Linked DNA regions of Notamacropus eugenii. Each later gene encodes a partner of the first gene's protein in a complex. Links are inferred from orthologs where the notes say so. Each region holds a gene or a part of one and is shown on either strand. Other genes may lie near its edges.

Evidence for each region. The genes of interacting proteins can lie anywhere in the genome.
Region 2: GATB (region 1) and GATC share a complex: the UniProt entries of both Homo sapiens proteins name them as parts of the heterotrimeric GatCAB amidotransferase (AdT) complex. The link is inferred for Notamacropus eugenii from reciprocal best matches to the Homo sapiens genes GATB and GATC.
Region 3: GATB (region 1) and QRSL1 share a complex: the UniProt entries of both Homo sapiens proteins name them as parts of the heterotrimeric GatCAB amidotransferase (AdT) complex. The link is inferred for Notamacropus eugenii from reciprocal best matches to the Homo sapiens genes GATB and QRSL1.

Annotation. Positions count from the first base shown.
Region 1 is NC_092877.1:149,562,812-149,566,558, forward strand, and holds the start of GATB (glutamyl-tRNA(Gln) amidotransferase subunit B, mitochondrial), read right to left. Parts: upstream 2,227-3,747; 5' UTR 2,190-2,226; coding exon 2,041-2,189; intron 1-2,040. UniProt on the Homo sapiens protein: Allows the formation of correctly charged Gln-tRNA(Gln) through the transamidation of misacylated Glu-tRNA(Gln) in the mitochondria. The reaction takes place in the presence of glutamine and ATP through an activated gamma-phospho-Glu-tRNA(Gln).
Region 2 is NC_092875.1:24,825,814-24,829,560, forward strand, and holds GATC (glutamyl-tRNA(Gln) amidotransferase subunit C, mitochondrial), read right to left. Parts: upstream 2,848-3,747; coding exon 2,528-2,847; intron 2,176-2,527; coding exon 2,072-2,175; intron 1,179-2,071; coding exon 1,129-1,178; 3' UTR 423-1,128; downstream 1-422. Other genes in the region: SRSF9 (serine/arginine-rich splicing factor 9), read left to right, coding at 1-74; TRIAP1 (TP53-regulated inhibitor of apoptosis 1), read left to right, coding at 2,968-3,114, 3,436-3,519. UniProt on the Homo sapiens protein: Allows the formation of correctly charged Gln-tRNA(Gln) through the transamidation of misacylated Glu-tRNA(Gln) in the mitochondria. The reaction takes place in the presence of glutamine and ATP through an activated gamma-phospho-Glu-tRNA(Gln).
Region 3 is NC_092873.1:186,017,315-186,021,061, reverse strand, and holds the start of QRSL1 (glutamyl-tRNA(Gln) amidotransferase subunit A, mitochondrial), read right to left. Parts: upstream 2,890-3,747; 5' UTR 2,792-2,889; coding exon 2,768-2,791; intron 1-2,767. Other genes in the region: RTN4IP1 (reticulon-4-interacting protein 1, mitochondrial), read left to right, coding at 3,630-3,747. UniProt on the Homo sapiens protein: Allows the formation of correctly charged Gln-tRNA(Gln) through the transamidation of misacylated Glu-tRNA(Gln) in the mitochondria. The reaction takes place in the presence of glutamine and ATP through an activated gamma-phospho-Glu-tRNA(Gln).

The DNA.
Region 1 (3,747 bases):
CCCAAGGGGATAAATATTATAATGAATTCAGTTCAATAAACTCTTATTATGGCTCATTGTTTTAGTGAACCATAGAGATATAAAGATGAAATAAGAAACAGTCCCTGTCTTTAATGAGCTAGTAGGCAACCCATTAAGCCTATAAGTTGCAGAGCAGGTGTAAATCTGCATTGGTAAAAGGATTTTCCCTGCTGGGAGTTCCCTCTGTCAATGAAATCACGGGTGTGGTCCCCACTATGCTGTACTACTAGGGATACAAAAGTCGCACAAGGTCATGTTCAAAATTTTTAGTCAAAGACTATCTTTTCAGTGAGACTTCAAATGATCACAGTTAACAGTCTAGTACGGTGCAGTAGAATGAGTGCTGGGTTTGAAATTAGGGGATTCTATTTCTGGCTTTGCCACTTACTACTTGGATCACTTTAGGCAAGACACTTAATCTGTCTGGGCATCTGAAAATACTGAAACAGATGCTGTACCTCCTAGGTCACTTCCAGCTATGAATCTTTGCTTCTATGATCTAGTATAATCTAGTTCTTAATTTTTTTCAAGTCTGAGCTCCTTTTCCCCATTTTTTAATATATAAAAAAATTCAGAACCCCACAAATGAAGGTAGCTGTACTACTGATATCTACTAAGATACATGATAAAAAAAAAACAAAACAACCTACTATGAATTTAACAATGTTTTAAAATGTATTTGAATTTTATTCATCATAACAGCATCTATGTAAATTTGAAAAATAATGATATTTGTATTTGGGACATTACTCAGTTTACATTGGGTTTCTTTACTTATCTGGGGATTCATTTCTTGATTCTTTGATTCCTGGCCTGAGGCCCACAGGTTGAGAATCTCTGGTCTAATGTAATCTCATTTTATAGATGAGGAAACTGCAGTTCCCAGAGGGTAAATTAACTTGCCCATGATCACCAAGGTACTAAGTGCAACAATGACTCAACCTCTTTCACAAAACCTTCATGAACTGTGTCTTAAGGCTTCTCCGCTCTTAACTCCTGCACAATAATTTTCAGAATAATTCATTTGGTCTCATATACATGTATATGTATCATATATGTATGTATATAATCTAGTGACACTGTTATTCAATTATTAAACCAGTCTCCCCAAAGCCTGTAAGCTGCTGGAAGTCGGAGGCTTAAGTTCTATGCTACTTTTTACCTTCTACACAGTACCAGTACAGTGCCTGGCACACAGCCCAAACAGTCAATGATTTGATTTTGAAAGCTGCATCATAGTGTAGGGGAAACAACACTGGTTTTGGAGTTCAAGGATATGGCTTGAAATTCTAGCTCTGCTTGTTACCTGCACAAATCTGGGGCTGAAGTCACTTAGGTAACCTCTGACACTTGGAGGTGCCAGTGATCCTTGAGTACTTAAGAGCCTAGCACACAGTAGGTGAATAATGAATGTCTGTGGATTGGCTCACCTAGTCTGACCAACCCCCTCACTTCACGGATGAGGAAACTGAGGCACAGAGAAGGGAAAATGCAGCGCCTGGCACAGCGCAGGCGAATAAGAAATGCTTGTGAACGGACTAGTCCAGCCTCAGCACCCGGTCTGTTTCCACTGTGTCTCCCTCTGCTAACACCTCTGGATGCGGTGGAAGGAGACTTGACTTCTGAGCTTTCCCCCAGATCCTGCTCTCAGTCTGCGGGCCACGTGTCCCCGTGTCGTTAGGCCCTCGGGTCCCTTCCTGAGGGGCTCTCAGGTCTGGGAATCCCAATCCGCGGCTCCCCCCACCTCCACCACCCTCTTTTCTCGGTTGGCTGCTACAGGACTAAGAGATGTACAGCTGAGCCTGCCTCCTTCCCATTCCCGTGCCCACCCCACTCCGGACAGGAGACTCTAGAACCCGCTGGGGATCCCCGCTTCCAAAGCCGCCCCCCCTCCCTGCCCCCAGCGAAGCCGGGCAGGGGCCTCGGGACAGCGTGCTCTGGAGGGGAGTAACGCGCCCCACCCCCACCCCTACCCCCACCCCCCGTCGGCCCTTCCTCCTCCCCTGGCGGCTTCTGTACCCCGGCCTCGGCTCCTGCGCCGCTGCGGAGCTCCGCCCTCTCACCCGGCCCGGCGCCGGCTCGGCGAAAAGCGGTCTCGTGCGGCGGGGACGGGAGCCCAGAGACCAACCCCGTCCAGCTCGGGCGCAGCGCAGCATGGGCGCCGCCATCGCGCCTCCGAGGCTGAGTCAGGTGACCGCTTTCTGAGCGGCAGCCGCGGAGCTCCCCGGGAAGCGTAGTCCCGGAAGCACGGAGGGGCAGCGGAGACTCCCAAGGGAAAACTACCATTCCCGTCGACCCTTGCGGGGCCCAGCACGTGGGCGGAGGCGGAGGAAGGAGGAGCCGAAGCGGGTCCGGGCTTTCCAATTCTTGGGGGAGGCTAGTTGACTGAGCTAGTCAAAGTGACTGGATAAACTTTAACTCAGTTCACCTCAGTGCCAGTCGGCCTACTTTGTACCAGCCACTGCGCTATTGCAGGTTGGCAGGGTCTCAAGGGCAAACCCAGGACGGTGCCCTCCTTGCCCGCTGGCCATTTCTGGGGCCCGCGAGGACGCGCCACAGCTTGTTGGTGGTTCTTGTCGTTCTCCAGGAGGACCAAAGTGACGCCAGCGTGTTGGGGGCCCCGTAGAGCGTGCCCGCGGCCGGGCCAGACCAGGCCGGGCCAGACCAGGCCGGGCTGGGAAGGCTCCTCCAGCACAGCTCGGGCACGCGTGGAGCGGAGAGGTCTCCAAGTTTGCCCCCCCCCACCCTGCTTTTGAGCAGGGGCCTTCTCTGATGTACAAATAACACCGTCAGCAGGAAGGTCAGAGGACCATGAGTTCAAGAGGGACCTCAGAGAGCAGGGCTCTGGGCCCGTGTCTGCCATGCTTTCCGCTGGACTCCAGAGTTCTCCTGAGAGACCTTGAGATAGATCTTCGTGCGAGCGCTTGCCTTGTGCGAGTTCTGAAAATATTTGGTTAGGCAGATGTGTGTTTGGCATTTAAACCCCTTGGCCAGTCCGTCAGAGTTGCGGTTGAGTTGGATGCTTGGCAGTTCAGAAGGGACCCCTTATGCCTGGTACCTTACCTCCTCAAGTGACCGTCAGAGTCTTCCTGATGGAAGCAGTTCAGTTTGCTGAGGTGGCTGGTAGACTGTCCAGGTTTCATAGGCTTACAGCAGTGAGGTTAGCACAACAGCTCTGTAGACTTTCGGTGGGTAGGCCTTCCAACACCGCTCCTTTCTCCTTTCTCCTTTCTCCTTTCCAAGCCTCCCAGATACTGAACTAGTTCTGACAAGGTGTGCATCATGAATGTGTCCATCCTTGGAAAGCACACCGCTGAGGTAAGTGAACTTATGCACAGCATTCAAACTTTATCCATTTGCTATAACCAGTGGGTTCCATGTATGGACGGCATGGTGCTGGCTGGTGGAGCACCCTGTTTTCTTGGTGTTAGTTATTAGGCGTAAGTGGCAGAGTGTTGGTGTGTCTGAGGAAGACTAGTACTTGTGGTGTGAGGGCTGTTGAGCCCCTTTCAGGACTGCTTTCCACCTTTGGTGTCCACCCAGTTGCCCCAACTCTTCCCTGTGACTCCAAGCTATAGTATGCACAGCGACTGTGCCCTGGTGAACTGTTTCAGCAGATGGGCTAAACCAGCTTGAGAGGGTCTCAAACCCTGTGAGTTAGGGGGATGTCTATTCTAAGCACAGGAAAACTTCCCCCACTGGAATGGGCAGATGAGAACAATTTGT
Region 2 (3,747 bases), on another chromosome or scaffold:
GGTCAAGGGGCCGTGATTCTCCATACCAAAGCAGGGGCTCCCCATACTACACCTCTTCCTTTGCACCATATTGAAACCGCTTATGAGGTTTTTTTGGTTCTGTTTTTTGTTTGTTTTTTTTTTTAGTGTGAACTGAGTTGCTCTCTGCTCGGAATCTACATTCCAAATTGACTTAGTATCTTAGGATTTTTTTTTAATAACTTTTTTTTTAAAGGAAAAACTACATACAACTACATACATACAGTTTCTACCAGGGCCATATTGGCAGTGAAATATTTTGAACTGCTGCAGTTGTTTTGGTTTAGAAGCAAGTTGCATAGTTCCCCTTCCTCCCCCAATTATGGAGAAAAAGCAATGCTGTGTCAAGGTGGGTTACTCTGCACAGACACTATATATAGGAATCAGCCCATTCTGTTTAGAAATATATTTCTAAAGTTTAATAGTTTCCAAGTCGTGGTTATTTTAATTACGTAAACTCAGTTTTTCTGTGCCAGGCAGATAGAGGATTAAAAGAATAAGAGAAGTTATCTGAACAGAACTTCTCAGTAGGGGCTTGAACGGGAACAGTCGGTGGTGGTCTGCTGTTAGACGAAATCCAGTGCTGAGCTTTTCAGTCTGTTTCTCTCTGAATGGAGGCTTTGGCAGTAGAGGAAATCACTGATAAAAGAAGATACTTTATGAAGAGACTAGGAATACTTAGGGAGGAAATATGAATAATCCAGACTGCATGGAGTCCTTTGATCAGGAAAAAACAAATTCTTGGGCAAAAGTGCATTTTGGTTAGAAACTCACTCTACATAACAGCATGCAGAAACTCTGAACCAAAGGTGATTTTGCAATTACCACAAGACACTTCCAACATGTGACCCAGGTACTAAGTGAATTCCTGATCCATTTCCTGGGAAGCTTTTCTCCAAGTCCCTAGTCTTCCTTGACCTCTATCGGGGAGAGCAGGATCTCACTTCAGCAGTTCTCCATCCTCACCCCATCTTCACTGGAGAGCAGCAGGGGGAGAGGAGAAAAGGGGCCAGAACCTGGTTGTGTTGAGGAAGTTCAAGGGAGTTTTTTTCAACTTAGTCTTTCCCAAGGTCCTCCATCTACATCATTTCCTACTGTGAGCACTATTCCTCAAAGCAGTGCTGGATCTTGTTCACTTTGTTTTGGCAGAGTGATGTTCCCTGTTTAAAATCCAAAAAGGAAAGAATTACAGTTAAGCCTAACTCTTCTTGCTTCTGAAACTAGTTGGTGTTTCATGAAAACAATGTTGTCACCACTCTGCTTTCTCAGCTAGGAATACCTGGATCACTACTAGATTTGCTACACATTTAAGAGGGAAAGGAGTGCCCATTGTGGAATTACCTAACATCCTCAGACAGTGGGGGTTGCAATTGGCAGAAGAAACATCCACACCAAAGTAATTCCTGAAATACTTTAGATAGGCACCTCTGAGCAGTGGGAAGGAAATGAAAACTACCTGGCTTAGTTCTGGATTGGGGTTTTTTGTGAGGGAGGAGGTTATCAATCAGTGAATCCATATAGTCACTTGACACATCCCAAGAAGAGGAATTTGAATCCATATTCTCCAGAAAAAAATCTATATGGCTCAAGGGTACTCCCCCTGCTTCCAGCAACTACTTGGTAACGTTTAAGTAATTCACAGAACCAGAGACACTCTACGATCTATACCAAATTGAGATTCCCTGACCCAACCGGAATCCCTTTCAGTATGGGGGTAATATGGAAGTGCTATGCCCTCTACCAGCTTCCTGGACTGGCATCTAAGCTGGGCATACGTCGGAGAAGGGTGAGGATACAACGCTGTTATGAAGCTCAAAGTCCAAAATGTAGAACTGACTTCAAAAAACAGGCTGCTAAGTTGTGGGGTTCAAATGGGCTGAAAGTCTTACATGGAAAAGGTTTACAACGCGTTTACAGCCTAAGGGTGGCTAACACCTCCCTGGGATTCAAACAGCACTTTATACTCCCAGAATCATTTCAAACCTATTCATCCCCCCCAAACCTTGCCTCTGAGCTGCAACATGACTGCCCAGCACCCCAATGTAGCATCTACCTGGGGGTGCCACAAAATACTCCTCCACAGTCTGCTGCGAGTTCTGCAGCAGGTCTTCCACACAGCCGCCTTCTACCACGTCGTCGGCTCTCAGGTACAGGCACCTACAACAGTCCAGAAGCCCGCCCCATAGGCAAGGGGCCCGGACCCCGAGCTTCTGCCGCGGGGGTACGGGGCGGGGGACCTCCACCAGCCCTGGGGCCGGTCTCCACACTAACCCAATCACTTGGAGCCGCGTTTTCGCACTTTTGGGTGGGGTGGATTTCCACTACTCGTGACCTCCTGCTGACACCGGAGGCACGCCCACCCCGCTCCTGGGAGGGTAACTGCAGATGACGTCATGTCATCGAGGGGGCCGTTAAAACGCCGGCACGTGTGGCGCTCCTGCGCTGGGCGATCGGGGATCCCTGCCCGAGGAGCCCCCGCGTGCACACGGACGTGCACGGCCTTGCCTACCGGTCCTCCAGCACCGACTCCATGGGCGCCACGCCGTCCGTGTCCACGGCGCGGAGCTTCTCCGCAAACTCGATGGCCGCCCGCAGCCGCTCTACGCCCTCGCGGTTTCGGAAATCCACCAGGGCCAGGCGCTCCAGGTGCTCGATCAGCTCGGCGCTCACTCGGTCGCCCGGGCGGGGGCCGGGGGGTGGGGGCTTCCCCGAGTCGTCCCCCGCAGACCGGCAGCTCCCGACTCGTGCTCCCGGCCCCCCGGCTATGGCGCCCCTCACGCCGGGGCTCAGCCCTGTCCGCAGCGTCCGCTGGAGCATCCGACGCCACATCTCCGGGGTCGCGGCCGCCTCACTGCGAGCCGGAAACGGGCGCTCCGGCGTGACGTAAGCGGCGCTCCGCGAGTGACGTCGGCAGCGCGCCGTCGCCCTTCCACTGCGGGGCTGGTCGCCATGAACAGCGTGGGAGAGGCCTGCACCGACATGAAGCGAGAGTACGACCAGTGCTTCAACCGCTGGTTCGCCGAGAAGTTCCTCAAGGGCGACGGCTCCGGGGACCCCTGCACCGACCTCTTCAAGCGCTACCAGCAGTGCGTGCAGGTGAGCCCCGAGAGCCGCGGGTTGGGCGTGGGCCCTGCGTGGCCGTGGCCACTGGGCTCCCGAGCGCCGCCGGCCGGACTGGTCACGTGCCGGCGCGGTGGTGGGGAGGGGTCGGCGGCCCAGCCCTGGGATCCCCTGCTGTGTGCCTCTGAGGCCTGAGTGCCCAGCTCGGAGCTCCCCGAGGAGGGTCACAGGTCGGGAAGCCAGCCCAGCGCTTGGCGACGTTGGTCTGATTCCTCGTCCGGTCAGGAGCGCTTTAGATTCTTGAGACGCTCCTTTCTCTGAGTCTTTCCTTTGTATATGTCATTTCTCAATCCACAGAAAGCGATCAAGGAGAAGGAGATTCCTATAGAAGGGCTGGAGTTCATGGGCCACAGCAAAGAGAAGTCGGAAAGCTCTCCTTGACCTTGACGGCCGCCTTCGCGATGACCTTTTCAGCTGCAAACATTCAGACGTCAGGAAGACTGGTCTCTGGAGACGACTGGTTTTTAGGAGCTTTTTAGAGGAAGAGTCCCTTAGGTTTATTTACTGAAAGGCTCGGATAGACCTTTATTATTTGCTTTCAGGTGACGGATGGCACCTCGCTGGTGTGGCATCTTGCAGTACCAAACATGGCATAAGAGAACAAGTCTT
Region 3 (3,747 bases), on another chromosome or scaffold:
AAGGAGAGAGGAATATGTTGGGAGGAGAAAGGAAGAAATGGAATGGAGCAAATTATCTCGCATAGAAGAGGCAAGAAAAAGCTTCCAATGGAGGGGAAAAAAGGGGAGGTAAGAGGGAAAAAGTGAAGCTTACTCTCATCACATTTGGCTCAAGGAAGGAATAACAGGCACACTCAATTTGGTATGAAAATCTATCTTACGATACAGGAAAGTAGAGGAGAAGGGGAGAAGCAGGGTGGGGGGGGAGGATGGAAGGGAGGGTAAATGGGAGGAGGAACAATTAGAAGTAAACACTCTTGGGGAGGGACAAGGTCAAAAGAGAGAATAGAATAAATGGAGGGCAGGATAGGATGGAGGGAAATATAGTCAGTTCCCTACAACATGACTATTATGAAAGTCTTTTGCAAAACTACACATATATAGCTTATATATAATTATATATAATTGCTTGCCTTCTCAGTGGGATGGGTGGGGAGGGAGGAAGGAAGAGAAGTTGGAATTCAAAGTTTTAGGAACAAATGTTGAGAATTGTTTTTGCATACAACTGGGAAATAAGAAATACAGGTAATGGGGTACAGAAATTTATCTTGCCCTACAGGGCAAGAAAGAAGATGTGATAAGGGAAGGGAGGGATGTTAGAAGGGAGGGCACATTGGTGGAAAGGGCAATCAGAATGCAAGGTGTTGTGGGGTGGGGGGAGGGGAGAGATGGGGAGAAAATTTGGAACTCAAAATTTTGTGGAAATGAATGTTGAAAACTTAAAATAAAAAAATAAATAAGAAAATATATATGTTTAATGCAATTTTCCAATTCTGCCTTCTGGAGAAGCTAAAGACTGAGTGAGGCAGACATTTTGAATTGTTTTTCAAGCTATATGAACTGTGCCCCATTCATTCACACTATTTCATGTTCCCCTTTTGACCATGGCTCTCAGGATCTTCAAGGAACCAGGCAGATGGGTGGAGTGTTGCGAGGAAAGAGAAGCAGGCAGACTAACAAAGGAAGTCAACCAATGACACTATCACTGGATGCTCTCCATTGTAGTCTAGTGATTAGGATTGTGACTTTTAATGTCATGACCCAGTTTCCCTTTCTGGGTAGCGAAGAGGCTAGAGAGATACAGTTCGGACTGGCCGTAGGGAAGAAGGCAAGATTTTATTTTGCTTAAACTGAGGAAGTCAATTCTTACCTTTGAAAGGCAGAAATCTTACATCATATTATCTTGACAGTTCAATTCCTGCTCATTATACTTATAAACCACATGTCATGGGCAAATCACTGAAGCTCTGGGCTTCAGTTTCCTTATCTGTAAAATGGGGATAATTATACCTCTATGACCTGCCTCACAGGGTTGTTTTGAAGTGTAAACAAGAAATTGCAACTTGGAAAACACTTTTCTCATTGAAGTAATGTTATAAATACAGAGTGAGGATCCTAGATTAGTACCAAAAAAGCTCCACAAAAAATATGCCACCAATACTAAACCCATAATGCAGTATTTTGATAAATTTGTAGTCCCTGTTCTGGATGCCAGGAGCATGCACAGGTCTATACAGTACAGAAAGGAGAAGAATTTAGCCTCCCTATTCTGAAACCCTAAATAAAAGTTTAAAGTTGATAGTAACTTAACAAGTAGTTAAGTTAGTCCTGCTTGGCAGTGTGTCCTCAGTGTTAGTTTCTCCGAGTCCTTGATTTTCAGTCTCTTCCCTTTTCTCTAGTTATGAACCTAGATTCCATAAGAGCCATTTCACCCTCTCAGAATTGTAGACAGTTGAAGAGGCAAAGCACTGGCATTGAGGGGGTTGGGGATTATCCAAACTGCTTTAAAACTTGCAAAGTACTTTACTATACCTCAGCCTCATAGCAATCCTGAAAGGTATGTTATCAATCAATCAATCACATTAGGCACTGTGCTAAGCACTTTGGGGTACCAACATAAAAAAAAGGTATCCCCTAGACTTAGTGTATGTATGTACATATGAACACACATATATACACATCTCTACACCATACTATATTTGCTATGCATATATTGGGTATATATGCTTAATATATTATATATGCATATATGTATATATACATATATGTGTATATATACGTACATATATATACATATATATGTATACACACACACATATATATATGTTTCACATCTATAAGCTCCACGGAAAAAACTGATTCTTTTTTTTATTTCTGGACACCTAGAAAATGAATCAATTCTCTCCATGATGGAATTTATATTCTTGGTGCACAGTAAAGTGTATACACTAAATATGTAAATAGCAAATATAGTAAGATATTGTAGTCAAATATACCATTATGTTATCAGAGAGACCAATGACTCGTCCAAGGTCACACGGTGGCCGGTGCTGAACCAAGGCAACGTGGCAGAGGGGGCAGCAAACGAAGACGAGGGGTTCTATTTCGCCTAAGTGACCATGTGTCAGCCCCCTCTCCTTCACAGCGAGGAAACAGGCACTGTGGGGCTTCTGAAAGACACCCCTTCTCCCGCGCCCCTCCCCCACACGCCTACATTAAAAGGTGCCCTAACCCGGACCCGAAGAGCTCTGCCCCGCACGGGCCTCACGCGCACACACTGCGGGACGACGCTGGGCCCGAGAACGTAACGACGACCGCGACATCACAGGCCGCCTCCCCGCGCCTGCCCAGGGCCCGTCGGCCCGGGGTGCACGGACTGTGGCGCCCCACGCCATGCCAGTGACGGCCCGGGCGCTGGTCCCTCCCCCCGCAGGCCGGTGACACTCACTTCTCGGAGGCTGAGACCTAGCATGGCGCTGCTCCCTGCGGGATCAGCCGCCCGGCCCCTGTTACCCTGAAGAGACCTCCGAGGAAGAGCCGCGGAGGGGAGAAAGGTCAAGGGCCGCCGCTTGCCGGTGTTACATGGGCGCGGCCATCTTGGATCTGCCTCCTCGCACCCCTTAGCGTCGCGCACCCCGGTTGGTCCGCGAGCAATGATCCTCGCACACCATTGGCTGCCGCTGCCTGGGTCATGCCGGGGAGTGGGGGGCGGGACTCGTGGGAAGCAGGAAGCCTCCAATCCTCCCGACCCTCCACGACCTCTAGCTCAGACCCCGGCCGGGGCTGGGGACGGGTGGGTGTACCTAGTCCTCAGGCTCCTGGGATCTCGGGGAGCAAACAGGGCTGGGCAGGGGCTTTAGGCGTTAGGGTTAGGCCGGGGTCTGCAGGGGAGCTTTAGGGGTCGGGGGTGCGGAGATAGTGCTTTGCGGGGGCGGCGGGGTGAGGACAAGCAGGGAGAGTTGTTATTATCATTATTGGACTTTTTTGGAGGAGATCAATTAGAAGAACGGGCAGAGCCCATTCATTATAGACGAAAATTGTATTTTGACCCTTGACCCGAGCAGCGGTAGAAATAGTTGATTACTGACATTAATGATTTAAAACCTTTTTTTGCCATCTCCTCCCCCAGGGGGTTCACTGATTACTTCTTGGGCCCCCCCTTTCTATTCTCAATACTCAGTTTAAAAAACGCGCTTATTTAGCCGAACCGGGCGGAGTTAAGGCTCGGGGCCGGGCCGGGCCGGGCTCGGGGCTGCTCCTGGCTCAGGTGAGGCTGCTGCCGGAGCCACGTGGGCGCCCGGTACCTGGGGATGGAGGTTCTGAAGAGGCTGGTGCTGAGGAGGGCGGGCGGGCTGTGCCCGGGGAGACCGTGGCGGGTCAGAGACTTCGGCACCACGGCTTCCAGGAGCACCGTGATGCCAGCCTGGG